Linked DNA regions of Diceros bicornis minor. The protein of the gene in region 1 purifies or fractionates together with the protein of each later gene. This does not show direct contact. Links are inferred from orthologs where the notes say so. Each region holds a gene or a part of one and is shown on either strand. Other genes may lie near its edges.

Region 1 (7,966 bases):
GGCTGCTCCTTTTTCTAAGATCAAGAGCACCTCCTAACCTGAAATCACCTCACAATTGCAAGTGTAGATGTCACTGTAAACCAGCCTATAGGAGATTATTTTAAAGGGCAATACACTTAATTGGTTACCTGTAAGACTGAATATACATACACCCATTAGAGAAAACTTTTTAAAAAATTGTTATGCAAACTAAGGCTAGGATAAAACTGCAGTAATGGCAACATACAGTTTCAAAAAGTAATATATCCTAAATGAATTAAATAAAAGTAAAGATGTGCTCTAGAAAAATGTCAGATGACTCAAAGTTCTCCTACTTTTGACAATAACACTGATATTGAAAATGCAGGTGAAGGGGGGAATATAACTTTGATTTTCAATAATTAAATTAATAAATACAAGTAGACATTCTACTGTTTCATCTGTATCCTAAAAGTTAATGTATTAAGAGTTGATCAAAACACTTTTCTTTGGAATTTCATGAGGAAAATACAGAAGATGTTTGAAAAATGTGATTCATTCAAATACAAAATCTGAAGGCAAAATAGTCGATAATGGCAGTTTCTATATTGAGACTACTATACTAAGAATTTTAGTACCAGCATCATTATTTATCAATGGTTGCTATAACAATTAGGCCAATTAATTGAGCTTTTGGAGATCAGGCTTCTAACACCAACAGAGGAGGGTTACTACCACCAACTCTCGGGTGATGCAAGCCTTAAATAAGACAGAGGTGGTTCCCAGCACAACGCCTGACACACAGACTCAAACCGTAGCTATGATTTCATAAATAATATCTAAAGGATTAAAGTCAGATATTTTAGTTCAGATTCTCCACTCTTCATGTATCTTCTCAGGCAAAACTGGAAGGAAAAGAATAATACTCAATTTAAGAGTGGCATCCCTAAAAAAAATTAACATTGCAGGTATCAGAATAACTACAAATTATAATTATTTGTAGCAAAAGAATTCAGTAATTACTGCAAGCAGACAAAGGCTCTACTTTCTCAGAGTTCTAAGAGCAAAACATTCTATTGGGCAAAGGACAAATCTGATTTAGTCAAAAATTACATATTAAGAAACTGTAATTTTCAATTTTTGCTGAGACAGATCAACTCGATTTCCTTGGCGTCCACACCAGCTCCCTTGTTTTTCTGCACACCAGAAATCCAACCAAGTGCCTTGCCTGACCAATGGAATCATCATTTTCAGCTCTACTACTTACAAGAGTTAAAAAAAAAAAAAAATTGTCACACCTAGCAAGCCACAACCCTCTTGAATGGAATATCATCTCATTTGCAAAGATTCTATGCTCCTTAAAAGTGTTCTAAGTATCATATGACCCAGCAATTCCTCATCTACATATCTACCCAAGAGAACTGAAAACACAGATCCATGCAAAAACTTGTACACAATATTCATAAAAGCATTGTTCATAATAGCCAAAAAGTGGAAACAACCCAGATATCCATCACTGATGAATGGATAAACAAAATGTGGTATATCCATACAATTCAGTCATAAAAAGGAATGATGTACTGACACATATCAAAACAAGGATGAAGCCTCGAAACATTACGCTAAGTGAAAGAAGCCAGTCACAGAAGGCCACATACTGTACGATTCCATTTATATAATATGTCCAGAATATGCAAATTCATCAAGACAGAAAGTAGATGAGTGGTTGCCAGGGACTAAGGTAGGAGAGAATGGAGAGTGACTGCTAATGGACACAGGGTTTCTTTTGGGGGGTGATGAAAATATTCTAAAATTAGAATAGTGGTTATGGTTGCACAACTTTGAATATACTAAAAACTGCTGCATTGTACACTTTAAAAAAGGATAAATTTTATGGTATGTGAATTATATCTCAATGAAGCTGTTATTCTTTTTAACTATTCTACAGTGTAAACATATATACATATATGAATATGAGTATACACCTACAACAAATTTTAAATTAATTTAGAGATAGTTTCATATCTATTTAGATCCATGTTAATTTTTTTAAGATTGTAAAATATTAGAATAGTTGAAGGCATACTGGAATATCACATAACCAAGTTTGACATCACTGATACATATTAAAGGTTTAAACTTAAAACTCCATTGAACTAGCAACTTTAAACTCCTAGAACCAGCAAATCAGTGGCAATCTGCTCTCTAGTGAGTTAGCTTAAATTTCAATTTCTTATATTTGAATGAAAACAAGAAATTCCACAAGTTAAATTCTATCTCTGCAAGTATATAATAGAGAACAGGAGCAACATCTTTTACACCCTCGTAACCTTCACGGCATACAGCACAGGCCCTTGCACACATCACGGACCACATAATGAATGCATGAAATACTTTTTTAATACCATATTTGTAAAACAGGGTCATTATAGTAGAACTTTTGCTCTATGTGGTAACCCTTTACATGGGGGTCAGCAAACTTTTCCCATAAAGGGCCAGATAGCAAATATATCGGCTTTGTGGACCAGACCATTTCCGATGCAACAACTCCACTCTGCCCGGAAGCATGAAGGGAGCCACAGACAATCCAGAAACCAATGCTCCCTGCTTTAACCAGTGCTGCCCAACAGAACTTTCTGCAATGGCAGAAGCAGCCTATTATCTACTGACCACTTGAAATACAGCTGCCCCAACTTAGGAACTGAATTTTTAATTACTTAATTTTAATGACTGCGAATGTAAATAGCCACGTGGTTAGTGGCTACTGTGTTGAACAGTAGTTGCTTCAGACTACCAACCAGCCAGTTTTACCTCTATTCAAAAAACTTAAAAAAAGTAAATGAGTTAATTTTTAAAGCTAAAAATGAAACCTGTCTGTGATTATAGTACAGGATGAACTGGAAGGTGAAAACATAATGTAAATTTTCTACAATTCACAGACCATACTAGTAAATAATCAAAATTCTAAGCAAATCAATCTCAGCTCGAGCAGTAGGATACGTGTAGAGTTCCATGTATCTGGATTTCGCCATACTTTGTCTGGTATACACTTGCTGGATTCCAGCTCTGAGGTCGTCCCAGATCTGGTCAAGGCCGATCTGCTTCAGTCCATGGGGGTTCTGACTCCTGTTTGATGACATCGTGAGTAATATTATGAAGTCGTCCAGTGCAGCAATCCTTATTCAAGGTACAGCTAATTCTCCATTAGATGAAAATATACAGTATCATCCCAAATTTATTCACAGCAGCTCAGAAAGGATGTCCTTTAAATGTAGAGAATGAAATCTCATTGCAGGCAAACCTGAAGAAGAAATAAAGGGAATTAATTCTTTCTCAACATCCTGGCGTGGGTCACAGGGTGCCTGCCACATTAACAGAAATACTCAGGCTGCAGGCAGTAGCAGGCACCACTCTATTCCAAAGATTATTTCTCTTTCTATGGGGAAACACACTCATATTATATGGTATGTGTATAGAAATAAGCTTATACTTAGACATTACGTTCAAATCATGACTATCAGTGTTCACAAGAAAAGCTGGGTAAAACTCGCAGAAGCACAGCTAGCAATGCTGCCTTTCTTTGCCTTCTAAAGGCATCAAAACTTCAGCTGATTACTTGACCTATGTAACAGACAAACTCAAAGGAAAAAAGGCAAACAGAATTCTCAGAAACAGAAACACAAATAGCTAATAAATAGGAAAAACCATTCAATCTCACTATTTATCTGTGAATTTTACTAATTTTTCACTTCGCACTTACCAAAATGCAATGTCAGCGAGGCTAAAGGTGAAGGGAAATGGTCACTCCCTTTTTAGAAGCAAATTTGGCAAGAACTGTCAAAATTTAAAATGTGCCCTGAATTTCAGGAGACCCGGGTTTGAAGCTCAGCTCCATACCTACTAGGTACGTGGTTTTGGGTAAGTTACTTAACTTCTCCCTTCCCGAACCCTCAATTTTCTAGTCTGCAAAATGGGGGCAAATCATTTTCCTCAAATAGTTGTGTGAAGTTTAATTAAGATAATGTATGTAAAATATTTAACACATAGTAAATGCTTAAAAAATGGTAATGGCTATTATTTCTAAGTGTTTGAAGTTACTGCAAAACACAATTTATAATACTTCAGGATTGAGGGTCCACAGATCAAGGACCTCAGCTATTCAATATTGTATTAAATCAGTACTTCTCAATATGCAATATTACAGACATACTTTAAGGATCGTCTATGTACATCACATCAAAACGTGGAGGTTTTTAAACAAGTATTTCTAGTGCAAAATTAAGAAACAGTGAGTTATTTTAATGGCTTCATAAAATAAATGTTGTTGGGAGGTAAACGGTATCTGGAACAATAAGAATGGGTTGTGAAGACCTGCCAACTCAAGTCTGAGTCACCTCAGCAAGTAATCCAGTGTGTCTCACACCCTCAATGGCAAAGGCACATTTAAGGACAATGTAGGGCACGCTTGAGGATTAAGTCTGAACTACTGACACCTAAATCACCTCTAATACTTATAATCTGAGCTATGGGACTGAATATTTTATGAAACCACAACACCATTTCTGATCCTGAAAGTATTTTATGTTATATAGTTACATAGGTATGTTCAAATGTGGAATACAAAAATATCTAACAGAAGAATTCCCTCGTGTTTTAAGGAAACTAACAATTCAGTAACCACTCTGCCAATGTTTCTGACATATAATTTCACCCCGCCTTTCCTTTCATCAGCCCGGGGAGATCATACCAACAGCTCACCTGATGGTAATCAGGGGGTCTCGGATTGGCAGCACCACCTGACGGCATCACCTGTTTAAACCTACATGCCCTCACCCCCACACTTACTTCATTTTCCCCTAAGGGGAAGTTATCACTTAAATTCCCCAGACTTACACCTAATTCCATCTTAGATAAGCTTTCTCATACCCATCTAGATACTCTTTTACTCCTTTTTCTTTTTCTTCTAATTTCTACCGGCAACTGAGAAAAATGTTCCACTTTTCCCATTTCTATCTTTTCCTCACCATAGCATTTCAACTGGGCACCATAAAAGCCACTTCATTTAGGATGGATAAGCATAGTAGGGGGACTCAGCAAACCTCCATGTGCCAGTGACTCACAAACATTTCTCTCCAGCCCAGATTTCTTCTCTCAACTCCAGGCCTGTCTCTGTATCCAAGTGCTAGTTCACCTCTTCTGATGTCTCAAACCCAACAGGTCTACAACTGAACTCCAGATCTGCCCCCAAACTCCATTCTCCACCAGTGTTGCCCATCTTAGGAAGTGGCAATTCTATGTATCCAAAAATCAGGAAGCTGGGAATCATTCTAAACCACTCACTCGTCTCCATTTCCTCTCCCAGTAATCAATCATCACCATCGTCGTCTCTTACCTGGACCACTATTTTAGTAGTCTAAACTAGATTCCCATACTTCTCAGTATTTACATCACCCCCCATCTATTCTTCACATGGCAGTTGAGTATAAAATTGTAAATCTGATTAGCTTGTCATCCTGAGAGCAGTGGGGAGCAGCCAAGACAGTGTGAAGCACAGAAATCCTACCATGGCATAATCAGATCTTTTCTGTCTCTTCATTTGCCTCTTACAAAACTCTCCCTTCATCCCTTGGGCACAGAGCCACAGACTTCCCCTCCTTCCTTGGACATGCCTATCTCCTTTCTGCTCCTGAGGATCTTTGCATCTGCTGCTGCTTCTGCCTGGAAAGCTCCTCTCCTTCTTCATCAGGTTGTTTTCCAGCCATACTGCCACCCAGGTAAGACTTACTAGGGAACTCCCAGACGAGGTTCAGGTCACCCATTTCCTGGGACTTTCCCTTCTTAGCTCTTACTCAAGGTCTTAACTCCATGCCTGTCTTTACCATAGCTCTCCCACTTCACCGGGGAGAAGGATCCCTACGATCCCCAGGCACAGAGATCATCTCTTCTGCTCACCACAATATCTTCAGAACCTAGTTCAGAGCCTGGTACACAGCTCAATCAATATTTTGCATGAATAAAAGAAGAAATTAAGGAACTAAAAAGCTATACGTTTTTAAAGGATTTGGAAATAAGGAAATAAGAGTATCATAGAGCATCTGAACTTGCCCCAAATCCCCCTGTAGAATCTCCACAAAATTCTATCCTGTTTCTTCTCAACACTAGATTTTAGGCTATAATTTATTTCTTGCTGTTTTCTTTAGTCATGTTTTATATCATCCTGGTCACTGCAAATGTATATGTATTTTAATATAGTGTTTAAGCAAGACTTGAGAGTTACAGAAATTTAGTGACCATTAATATTTATTTAACAAATATTTAGTAAGAAACTACAATGTGCTAGGCACTGTCCTCTGCCCTGGTTATGTACTATCAATTGTAAATCAAAACAGACATCATCTATTTTCATAACACTTCTACCACGGAATAAAGCATTTTTCTAAGAAGCTAACCCATAAATTTCTGGTATATAACCTGTTTGTAAACTAGAAACTTTATGTACTGTGCATTTGAGTACCAAAAGTATTTGCTTATAAGAGCCGATTACAGTCACAGACAATTAGAGGTTAACCTTAAAGATCGTTCTGGCTCTTTCTTTTACAGATGAAGAAACTGATTCAAAGAAGCAATCAAACCTGATCAGGATCACAATGCTAAAAAGCGGCAGGACCACAGGCCAGAGCTTCGGATTCTCAAGTCAGTATTCCCCAATACTATAGCCTGCATTTTAGGTTCTTTCATTTTTAAGGCGACAATACACAAGGACACCAATAAAGAGCCATGAGAAAAAAAATAGATTCACCAATTATCTATTTATTAATCTTAGAAACCGAAAAAGCTCCAAATAAGAGCTGACAGTTTGAAAGAACAAATCAGTCCTAATTGTATCAATATTAAATCTATTCAAATATTTTGAAATTTAAGAAAGCTGAATTTTTTAAAAGTCCGACATTTTTTAAACGAAGAAAAACACTGCAAATATCAGAAGAGCATGAAAGATAAAGTCAAGATACCAATTATCATACCAACACAACCCCCCACAAAGTTAAAATACACCAAATAAAACCGTTACTGTGGATCTTCCTCTACCTCCACTATCCTAGTTCAACATCATGACCCACGCATTCTTTACATGTTCTTACTCCCTCGTATTACACTTCCGATTCCAGTTATCAGTCTTACTCTATCAAGACTCACTGATACTCTAAGAGATCAAATACAACCTTTTTATGTCAAGTTTACTTTATCACACATACTTGTGTCTAGTTTTGATGCATCGAAATTTGGTGCCATAGCAAATCTCAACTTATATACAGAATATGCTGAAAAATCAGCAAAATATTCTACCCTTGCTTTTATGTGCTTTGTTTTCTCTTTAGGGCTGGCCCAGTGGCTTAGCGATTAAGTGCGTGCGCTCTGCTACTGGCGGCCCAGGTTCGGATCCCGGGCGCGCACCAATGCACCGCTTCTCCAGCCATGCTGAGGTCGCGTCCCACATACAGCAACTAGAAGGATGTGCAACTATGACATGCAACTATCTACTGGGGCTTTGGGGAAGAAAAAAAGGAGGAGGACTGGCAATAGATGTTAGCTCAGAGCCGGTCTTCCTCAGCAAAAAGAGGAGGATTAGCACGGATGTTAGCTCAGGGCTGACCTTCCTCACAAAAAAACAGAGCACTTAAAACAGTCATCAACTAAACACTAACTGGAACATCAACTGAATGGAAGATCACGGGAATCTGGGAAATGCTAGCTTTAGTGAAGCTAAATACTTTGTTTTGTTTGCTACAAGACTTCAGAGGCCTTAATAAGTGAACATATCTTAGGAATTTCCATCAGAAAAACACTATAAAGCATCCCGTACTCACACTGTCTTGGCCGTAGAGCATTTTTTCCTGAATATATTTCAGGACTGGTTTTTCAAGAAACTGTTTCAAGGAACAATATAGCTTTAAAAAAAAAAAAAAAAAGATAAATCTGTTGATCCCTACTGATTCTTAACTCTCTTGGG
Region 2 (7,615 bases), on another chromosome or scaffold:
AGGCACTAAATGGAATTCAGTCTCCCAAATATATGCAGACCAAAGCTAAAACAGCTTTAGAAATTATTTAGCTCAATTTGGGGATAAGAGAAGTAAACTGGATGCTAAGGCTGTTTGAGGATATCCTAACATGTGGTTGACATCAGGGACAACAATCCTATCCTTCCCCACCACCCCGCGTGGTGCTACTCTAGAGAAAGAACCCTGTGATAATAGGCCCATGAGTCTGGGCCAAGAAACAGTTCTGTTGTTCTTAAACGTGGGGAGGAGTGGGCTGGGTGGAACTAGGGCATGGCTTCGTACCATCTCAGCAAAGATGCAGCCCAGGCTCCAGATGTCCACAGCTGTGGAGTAGTATTTGCAGCCCAAAAGGATTTCAGGTGCTCGGTACCACAGGGTCACCACCTGGGGGATAAGAGTGGGAAGGGGAGGGATGGTGTATGGGGCATGGAGATTCCCACGTCTCAGTTCCTCAGCACTACTCTGCTAACTCTCAGGCTCTTAACAAGCAGCTTCCTTCCCTCCATCCTTCCCCTCCTTCTGACTTCGCCTAAGTGAAATGATTACACACCACTTCTTAGCCCAGAGTTAGCCTTGCCCATGGCTCTGGGAACCGTATTTTCTGAAGCCCCGATTTGTGACCTTTCTGGAAAACTTGAGACAAGTCGTCATAATTTTAATGGTGTGCCATCCAGCTCTCCTGGCTTGGTATCTATCAAAGGCCAGTTAGCCCTACGGTATGAAGGTATGAACTATGTGCATACTCTAAGACCTCCTGGGGTGTCAGAGATACTTTCCATCTACTGAGAGAGAAACTGCTGCCAGGTATTTTTAGTAACTTTGTGAATGTCTTTGTTAACACCTCCCAGGAAGTTCAGAGAAGAAATGCAGAGAGAGACTCACCTCATGAGTATAAGTACGAACAGGCACTCCAAAGGCTCTGGCTAGTCCGAAGTCTGCTAGCTTGATGGCCCCCTCCGCATTGATAAGCAGATTCTGAGGTTTGAGGTCTCGGTGCAGGACCCGGTGAGAATGGCAGAAAGCTAGGCCCTGGAGCAGCTGGAACAGATAGCTCTGACAAGGGAGACAGAGAGGACTGTGTTTTTCAACCACAGTGAGAAGATTAGGGTCTGCTCTGTGCCTCCAAAGCTCTACTAAAGCCTTTACTATGTTGGATCATAATTACATGTTTACAAGCTATTTCTCCCACTGGATTGTCAGCCCAGTGAGGGGTAAGGACCAGGTCTTATTCAGTTTTGCATCTCTTTTCCATATGCTGTGCCTAGCACATTGAAGGTGTTCAATAAATGTGCATTGAATAAACATTTGTTGACAGATTGAAAGTAGCTCCAGGAGTAAAGAACACAGGCCTAAAACAGACAGTAGAGAGCTGCTGGCTATTTCTTCCACCAAACAGGTGGAAGGGCTTTTTAGAGGAATCTACCAAGTGCCCTCAAGTCCCATTTATCTGAGTTTCATCTGACCTTCCACCTGAGCTGCTAAGTTGACTTACTAGAGTTTCCACTTCTCTGATTCTCCTGCCCAGCCCTGGGGTTAATAAGCATAATGAGCAGTGAAAGAGCCACAAAAGAAAGGGGTAGGTATTTGTCTGTAGGGGAATGAGGGCTGGGGAGGAAGCCACATTACAAATCATCACTCAGTCTGAATTGCCTGCCTTCAGTCCCCTCCAAGATGCCCATGATGAGGAGGAGTTGAGGAGAAGGATTACCTTGATGAGGGGAAGAGGAATGCCCGTGAGAGCAGAGGCATCCATGAATTTCTTGAGATCCTGGTGTAGAAACTCAAAAACCAGGTAGAGTTTGTTTTCTGTGTGGATGACATCCAGCAGCCTAGGGAAGAGAGGTCCAGGAATGGAGGTGAGGGAGAGAAATGCCCAGACTTCACAGACAGAAGGTATCCTCCTTTACTATCAGAGTACCTCCCAAATACATACTTACTTGACAATATTAGGGTGGTTAAGCTCCTTAAGCAGAGAGATCTCCCGGATGGCAGTACTGGGTACACCCTCCGTCTCACTTGGAGAGGTTGGGAAAGTAGAGATGGGAATGTGGTTACAAATATTCTTTTTCCTCCAGCCCAGTCACTCCCTCTCCCACCTCCCACCCCCCCTCCACAAGGTGACACCACCCCCAGCATCCCCTAGGAAAGTGAGAGAAGAGAAAGAGTGCTGTAGGAGTTAATTCATGGGTGGTCAGGGAGTGGCTTTTAGACATATTAAGGTCATTATTTCTTCTTTTCCCAGGGGTAGGTAAGTAAAGCCTCCTGGTGAAGGTGAAGCAGAGAGAAGGTAACAGAAAAAAAATGGGACTAGCAGCACCCAGCCTCCCTGGAGGGGCCAGTGAGGTTCAACTGTCATTCTTTTGAAAGAGGGAGAGAATTCTAAGATGAGGGTGGGGTTGGGACAGTGAGGAGGGCTCTTCCTTCAGAAAGGTGCTTTTCACCAGTTCCTACAAAACCCAACTCCACCAGGAGTCCTGGACCCCATCTCAGGGGCCTCCTTAGTCTTCCTGAGTCTTTCTGACTGCACATTTAGGGGGGTATCACCCGGCTTTGGGGAGGAAGTTCCCCATGGATTGTGCACTACGCTATATTCTCCACAGGGAAACTTTCTACTGTCCTCCAGTCCACCTCTCCACCTCAAAAGAAGTCCCTCCCTGCTACCTTCCGGTCCCTGGACGGCTACCCGCCTGTGGGGGTGGGGGTGGGGGTAGGGACACTCAAGGAGCTCCGGAGTTAGGAGTCCCGGGTACAGAGGCCACTCACGTGTCCAGGCGGATTTTTTTAAGCGCCACCACTTCTCCCGTCAACTTGTTTTTGGCTTTGTACACAACTCCGTACGTGCCCTCTCCGATCTTTTCCACTTTTTGGAAGTTCTCCATGAAGCGCTAGCGAGCCGGGTCAGCCCGGCCCTGGAGCGGGGGCCTGGGAACCCTGCAGAAAGCGGGCCCCGGCTCTCGGGGGGCCAAAGAGGGGGAAACAGGGCCCAGCACCGCGACCCCAGGTCGGGATGGAACGCAGTGTATCTCTCGCTCTTGTCAATTTGTCCAACTTAAAACAATGTTGCCGCCTCCCCCCCAGTTCTCTACCGCCACCAGACGCCCCGCCCCTCCTTCCCGCGTTTCCCTGGCTCCGCCCCCGGGCCTTCCCATTGGTCAACGTCAGAGCGGGCGGGGCGAGCCCAGCGCCCCTCGCCGCAAATGACCTTCCCGCACAAGTTTGGTTCTGAGGGGCGTTAGAACAAGCTTCTGCGTCGGTGACGAGGCTGAACACCTTTTTCCAAGTACCTGATTTGGGCTCGAGTTTCCGACCCGTGCCCTCAGTCTGTAGGGACTTCCTGATCTTTAACTCGCAGGGTTCGCCACCCTTAGGGGAAATGTGTATCGACCTAAGATTAAATTCCCCCCGGCCCAGGGAGCCTCCTTTGAAAAGCAGGAAGCTGGGAATCTCATTGTAAGGGTTTCCTGGGCCTCGGAGGAGTCGTTGCCTCCGCCTCTCAGCCTACCCTGAGACTGTCTTTCTGTTTTTGGATGCAGGATCTCTTGTCTTTTTGAGAGGTTCCTGTTGGACTCAAACAACAGACTGATTCACTCTCCCATGATGAACTGTGTGTGTTCGGTATGTGTTACGTAGCTGTTCTTTCCCGGGAGGATGGAGTGTGTCCAGATGAAAGTGACCCAGAAACTGTCATTGAGTAGTGGGATGTCCAGGGACCAGCATCCCTTGTCAGTTCTGCCGTTCTCCGGTCCTCCCGCCCCTCCCAGACCTTCCCTGGAGGGAGAGGAGGAAGGGCTATGCAAATAAGCACCCCTTTCTTATACAGGGGCTTGTCCCAGCCCACCAGCACCTTTGGTTGCTGGAAGGAAGAAGAGGATGGATCTGGTGCTGAGAAAATGCCTTCTCCACATGGCTGTGATGGGTGCTCTTCTGGCTGTGGGGGCCACAGAAGGTGAGTGTGGGGTGTGTGGAGATGAACAAGTATGAATTTGAGATTGCGCATCTGCTCTGGTTTTCCCCCTCCTAATAGGAGTTACCAGCAATACTTCTGTCTTCTCCCATCCATTTGATTTAGTGAGGACATGGGCACCTGAGCTCCCTCCCCACACGGAGATTTGGGACTGGACCTGAAAATAATCCCATCTGCTTGGAAGGGAAAGAGGATAGTGGATCTTCACGGCCCTAATTCTGAGGCCCCCTGCTCAGTGAGATGGAGCAGGGGCTCCAAAGGGCTGAAATGAGTGGGAGACTCTTTTAGGCAATGTCTCAAACACTTGGGATAGGGTAAAGTGAGGAATAAGAGAATGTGGTATTGGATAAGAAGGGTAAGGGGGCCCCATCGCCCCTCTTTGGGATGGAGATGGGCGAACACAGCCCAGGCTTTTGTTCTGGGGCTGGAAGAGACGGGCAGAGGGTCTCAGCTGAGCATCACATGAAAGGGCTTTGGGGGATTGAAGCCTCGTGACAGGAGCAAGGGATGGGGGCAGGGGTGGTGAGAGGGTCTGGAATGTCCCGTGCTGCTCTGAGAAGGGAGGGTTGGGAGTGGAGAAAGAATAGGGCATCTTATGATAGGGTGGGATGCTCAATGACATGCTTCCAGATCCTCCCCCAGTGGAATCAACTAGGTTTCCAGTACACATTAGAAATGGAGTGAGGACAGTTTCTGCTGTGCTGAAATATATACCTCATATCCCAGTCCCCATTTTCTTTTTTTTGTTTTAATAATTTTATTTATTTTTTCCCCCAAAGCCCCAGTAGATAGTTGTACGTCATAGTTGCACATCCTTCCAGTTGCTGTATGTGGGACGCGGCCTCAGCATGGCCAGAGAAGCGGCGCGTCTGTGCGCGCCCGGGATCCGAACCCCGGGCCGCCAGCAGCAGAGCGCCCGCACTTAACCGCCAAGCCACGGGGCCGGCCCCAGTCCCCATTTTCTATCTCTAGATCCCTAGTCACACAGACTTCTAGGAAGTTCTCCTTGATCTGACTTCCCTCATTCATGCTGCAGTTTCAAGTCTTATTCTTTTACTATGTTCCTTAATGTATTCTGGAAACATTCTGTTCATACTTGTCCACCTGAGGCTCTTAAAAGATTGTGCTTACTTTTTGGGTCCCAATTTTTAAAATCATAAGAAGACATTTTTGGATATTCATGAAATTTTATATTGACTGAGTTTGATAATTTCGTCTAGTATAAATTGACATTGTTCTTATTCAAGAAAATATTCATGTTTAAAAAAAATTGTTTAACCCTACAGATACATGCTGCATTTGTAGGGTTAAAATAACAAGATGTCTGGGATTTTTAAAAAAATACTTTAGCCAAAAAACAAACAAACAACATTAACAAAAGAGAGATAAGACAAATGTGGCAAAATTGTTGACAGTCATTGGATCTGGGTGAGGCATATGGAGATCCATCATATCCCTTTTTTTCTCAGACTTCTCTCTTGGTCAGTTACAATAATTTTATCTGCTCTGTCCCCACCCGCAACCTTTGCCTGCCTCTGATCCATCCTCCTCACTGCTTGCCAGTGATCTTTCTAAAACACATCTGATCATATTCAAAAGCTTCTGAAGGGTGAATTTTATGGTATGTGAATTATATCTCAATAAAACAAACAAACAAAATCTTCTGAGGTGGCCTTGCCTACAGGATAAAGGCCAAACTCCTTCACCTGGCACTGAAAGCCCCCATCTTCTTGGCCTCATCTCTCACAGTGTGCATCAACCACATTGCTGGTAGTCTCCTATCATGCCAGGTGCTTCCCTGCCTCCATGCATCTGCTCATGCTGGGCCTTATCCCACAGGCCAACTCCTCACTGACATCTCTCCCAATCTGCCAGAGTAGAACTAGTCTGTTTAGTTTGTCATTTTCATGCACTTTGTGCATGTCTGTTATGGTTCATATTAAACAGTGCCTTGAATTATAGTAATTTATGTATATGTCTATTTCCTATACTTTACCTTGAATCCCATTAGGGCCATGTCTTGTTCATTTCTTAAGTCCTTTGTACCTAGCATAGTGCCTGGTACCTGGTGGGTATTCAGTAAATTAAAATGCAATTTGAATGTGAGAATGAGTGGGGCCACATGGGACGGTGTTATCCCCTGAGAAGGGACTGAGTGAGGATCCTAGGGCCCTCATGGTACCTTCCTTTTAGGACCCAGAGGCCGGGACTGGCTTGGTGTCTCAAGACAGCTCAGAACTAAAGCCTGGAACAGGCAGCTGTATCCAGAGTGGACAGAAATTCAGAGGCCTGACTGCTGGAGAGGTGGGAACTTGACAATTTCTGGGGAGGGTATGGTGGGAACGGGGTGAGGAGAGGAGCAAGAACTGGGTTGGATGTAGCTTGGGATGATAGGAAGGGAAAAGGTACATGGGGAGTGGAAACCAAGGAGTCCCAGCTAATGCAGCTGCCCTTCCCAGGTGGCCAGGTGTCCTTGAAGGTCAGTAACGATGGGCCTACACTGGTTGGGGCAAATGCCTCTTTCTCTATTGCCCTGCACTTCCCTGAAAGCCAAAAGGTGCTGCCAGATGGGCAGGTCGTCTGGGCCAACAACACCATCATCAATGGTGAGTACCTTTCTACTCCAGGCCCTCATTCCTAGGGCTCGGATTCCCTGGTATCCCCAATGAGCTCAGGGAATGCTCCCTTCCCCTCTACTTTTTTTTTTTTTTTTTTTTTTTTACAAATTATACATGTAATACATATTCATTGTAGAAAAATTAGAAAACACAGAGAAAGCAAAAAGAAGAAAAAATTATAGTCTCCAAAATGGGGGACAGAAGACCCAGTGGACCTAGAAGTGGGACAGACTTTGATTTAAAGTTGCTACTAGCATGTGATCCTGGGCAAGTTACTTAATTCTCTTATGCTTCCATTTCCTTATCTAGAATGGGGATGATAACTTGAAAGGTTGTTTTAAGGATTAAAATGTGATAATCTGTAAAGAATTTAGCATACACCTTCCACAGCCTACAGTAAAGGCTCAATAAATATTAGCTGGGGCTGTTATTTTTATTTTTAGTGAGGAGATCAGCCCTGTGCTAACATCTGCCAATCCTCCTCTTTTTTGCCGAGGAAGACTGGCCCTGGGCTAACATCTGTGCCCATCTTCCTCCACTTTATATGGGACGCCGCCACACGGCCAAGCAGTGCGTCAGTGCGCGCCCGGGATCCGTCCGAATCAGCGAACCCCGGGCCGCCGCAGTGGAGCGTGCGCACTTAACCGCTTGCGCCACTGGGTCGGCCCCGTGGTGCTGTTTTTATTTTTATCCCACTAGCTAGAGCAAATCACTCTAAACATTTTGATATATGGCCTTCCAATCTCTTTCCTATTTAAATATACATATGAATCTTTAATTGTAGTTTCCATTCTCCCCACCACCACCCCAAGTGGGTTATACAAGGGGAACGTAACTTCGTAGCTAAAGAAGTATTCCCAGAGCCCCTCTCTGGGAGCCATGTTAGGGGTTCTGGTGTATAGAAAGGAATGCCAGGGTTTGAGGGTGACTCTGTATCTACCTTTCAGGGAGCCAAGTGTGGAGAGGACAGCCAGTGTATCCCCAGGAACCTGATGATACCTGCATCTTCCCT

The links.
Region 2: the proteins of CUL1 (region 1) and CDK2 purify together in Homo sapiens (affinity purification with mass spectrometry; 4 studies listed by BioGRID and IntAct, counting the BioPlex papers as one, with this or other methods). This does not show direct contact. The link is inferred for Diceros bicornis minor from reciprocal best matches to the Homo sapiens genes CUL1 and CDK2.

What each region holds. Positions count from the first base shown.
Region 1 is NC_080742.1:95,004,763-95,012,728, reverse strand, and holds the start of CUL1 (cullin-1), read right to left. Parts: upstream 3,280-7,966; 5' UTR 3,099-3,279; coding exon 2,959-3,098; intron 1-2,958. UniProt on the Homo sapiens protein: Core component of multiple cullin-RING-based SCF (SKP1-CUL1-F-box protein) E3 ubiquitin-protein ligase complexes, which mediate the ubiquitination of proteins involved in cell cycle progression, signal transduction and transcription.
Region 2 is NC_080756.1:12,774,584-12,782,198, forward strand, and holds the start of CDK2 (cyclin-dependent kinase 2), read right to left. Parts: upstream 3,091-7,615; 5' UTR 2,901-3,090; coding exon 2,785-2,900; intron 2,037-2,784; coding exon 1,959-2,036; intron 1,851-1,958; coding exon 1,730-1,850; intron 1,075-1,729; coding exon 904-1,074; intron 406-903; coding exon 304-405; intron 1-303. Other genes in the region: melanocyte protein PMEL, read left to right, coding at 3,892-3,967, 6,179-6,289, 6,445-6,591, 7,551-7,615. UniProt on the Homo sapiens protein: Serine/threonine-protein kinase involved in the control of the cell cycle; essential for meiosis, but dispensable for mitosis. Phosphorylates CABLES1, CTNNB1, CDK2AP2, ERCC6, NBN, USP37, p53/TP53, NPM1, CDK7, RB1, BRCA2, MYC, NPAT, EZH2.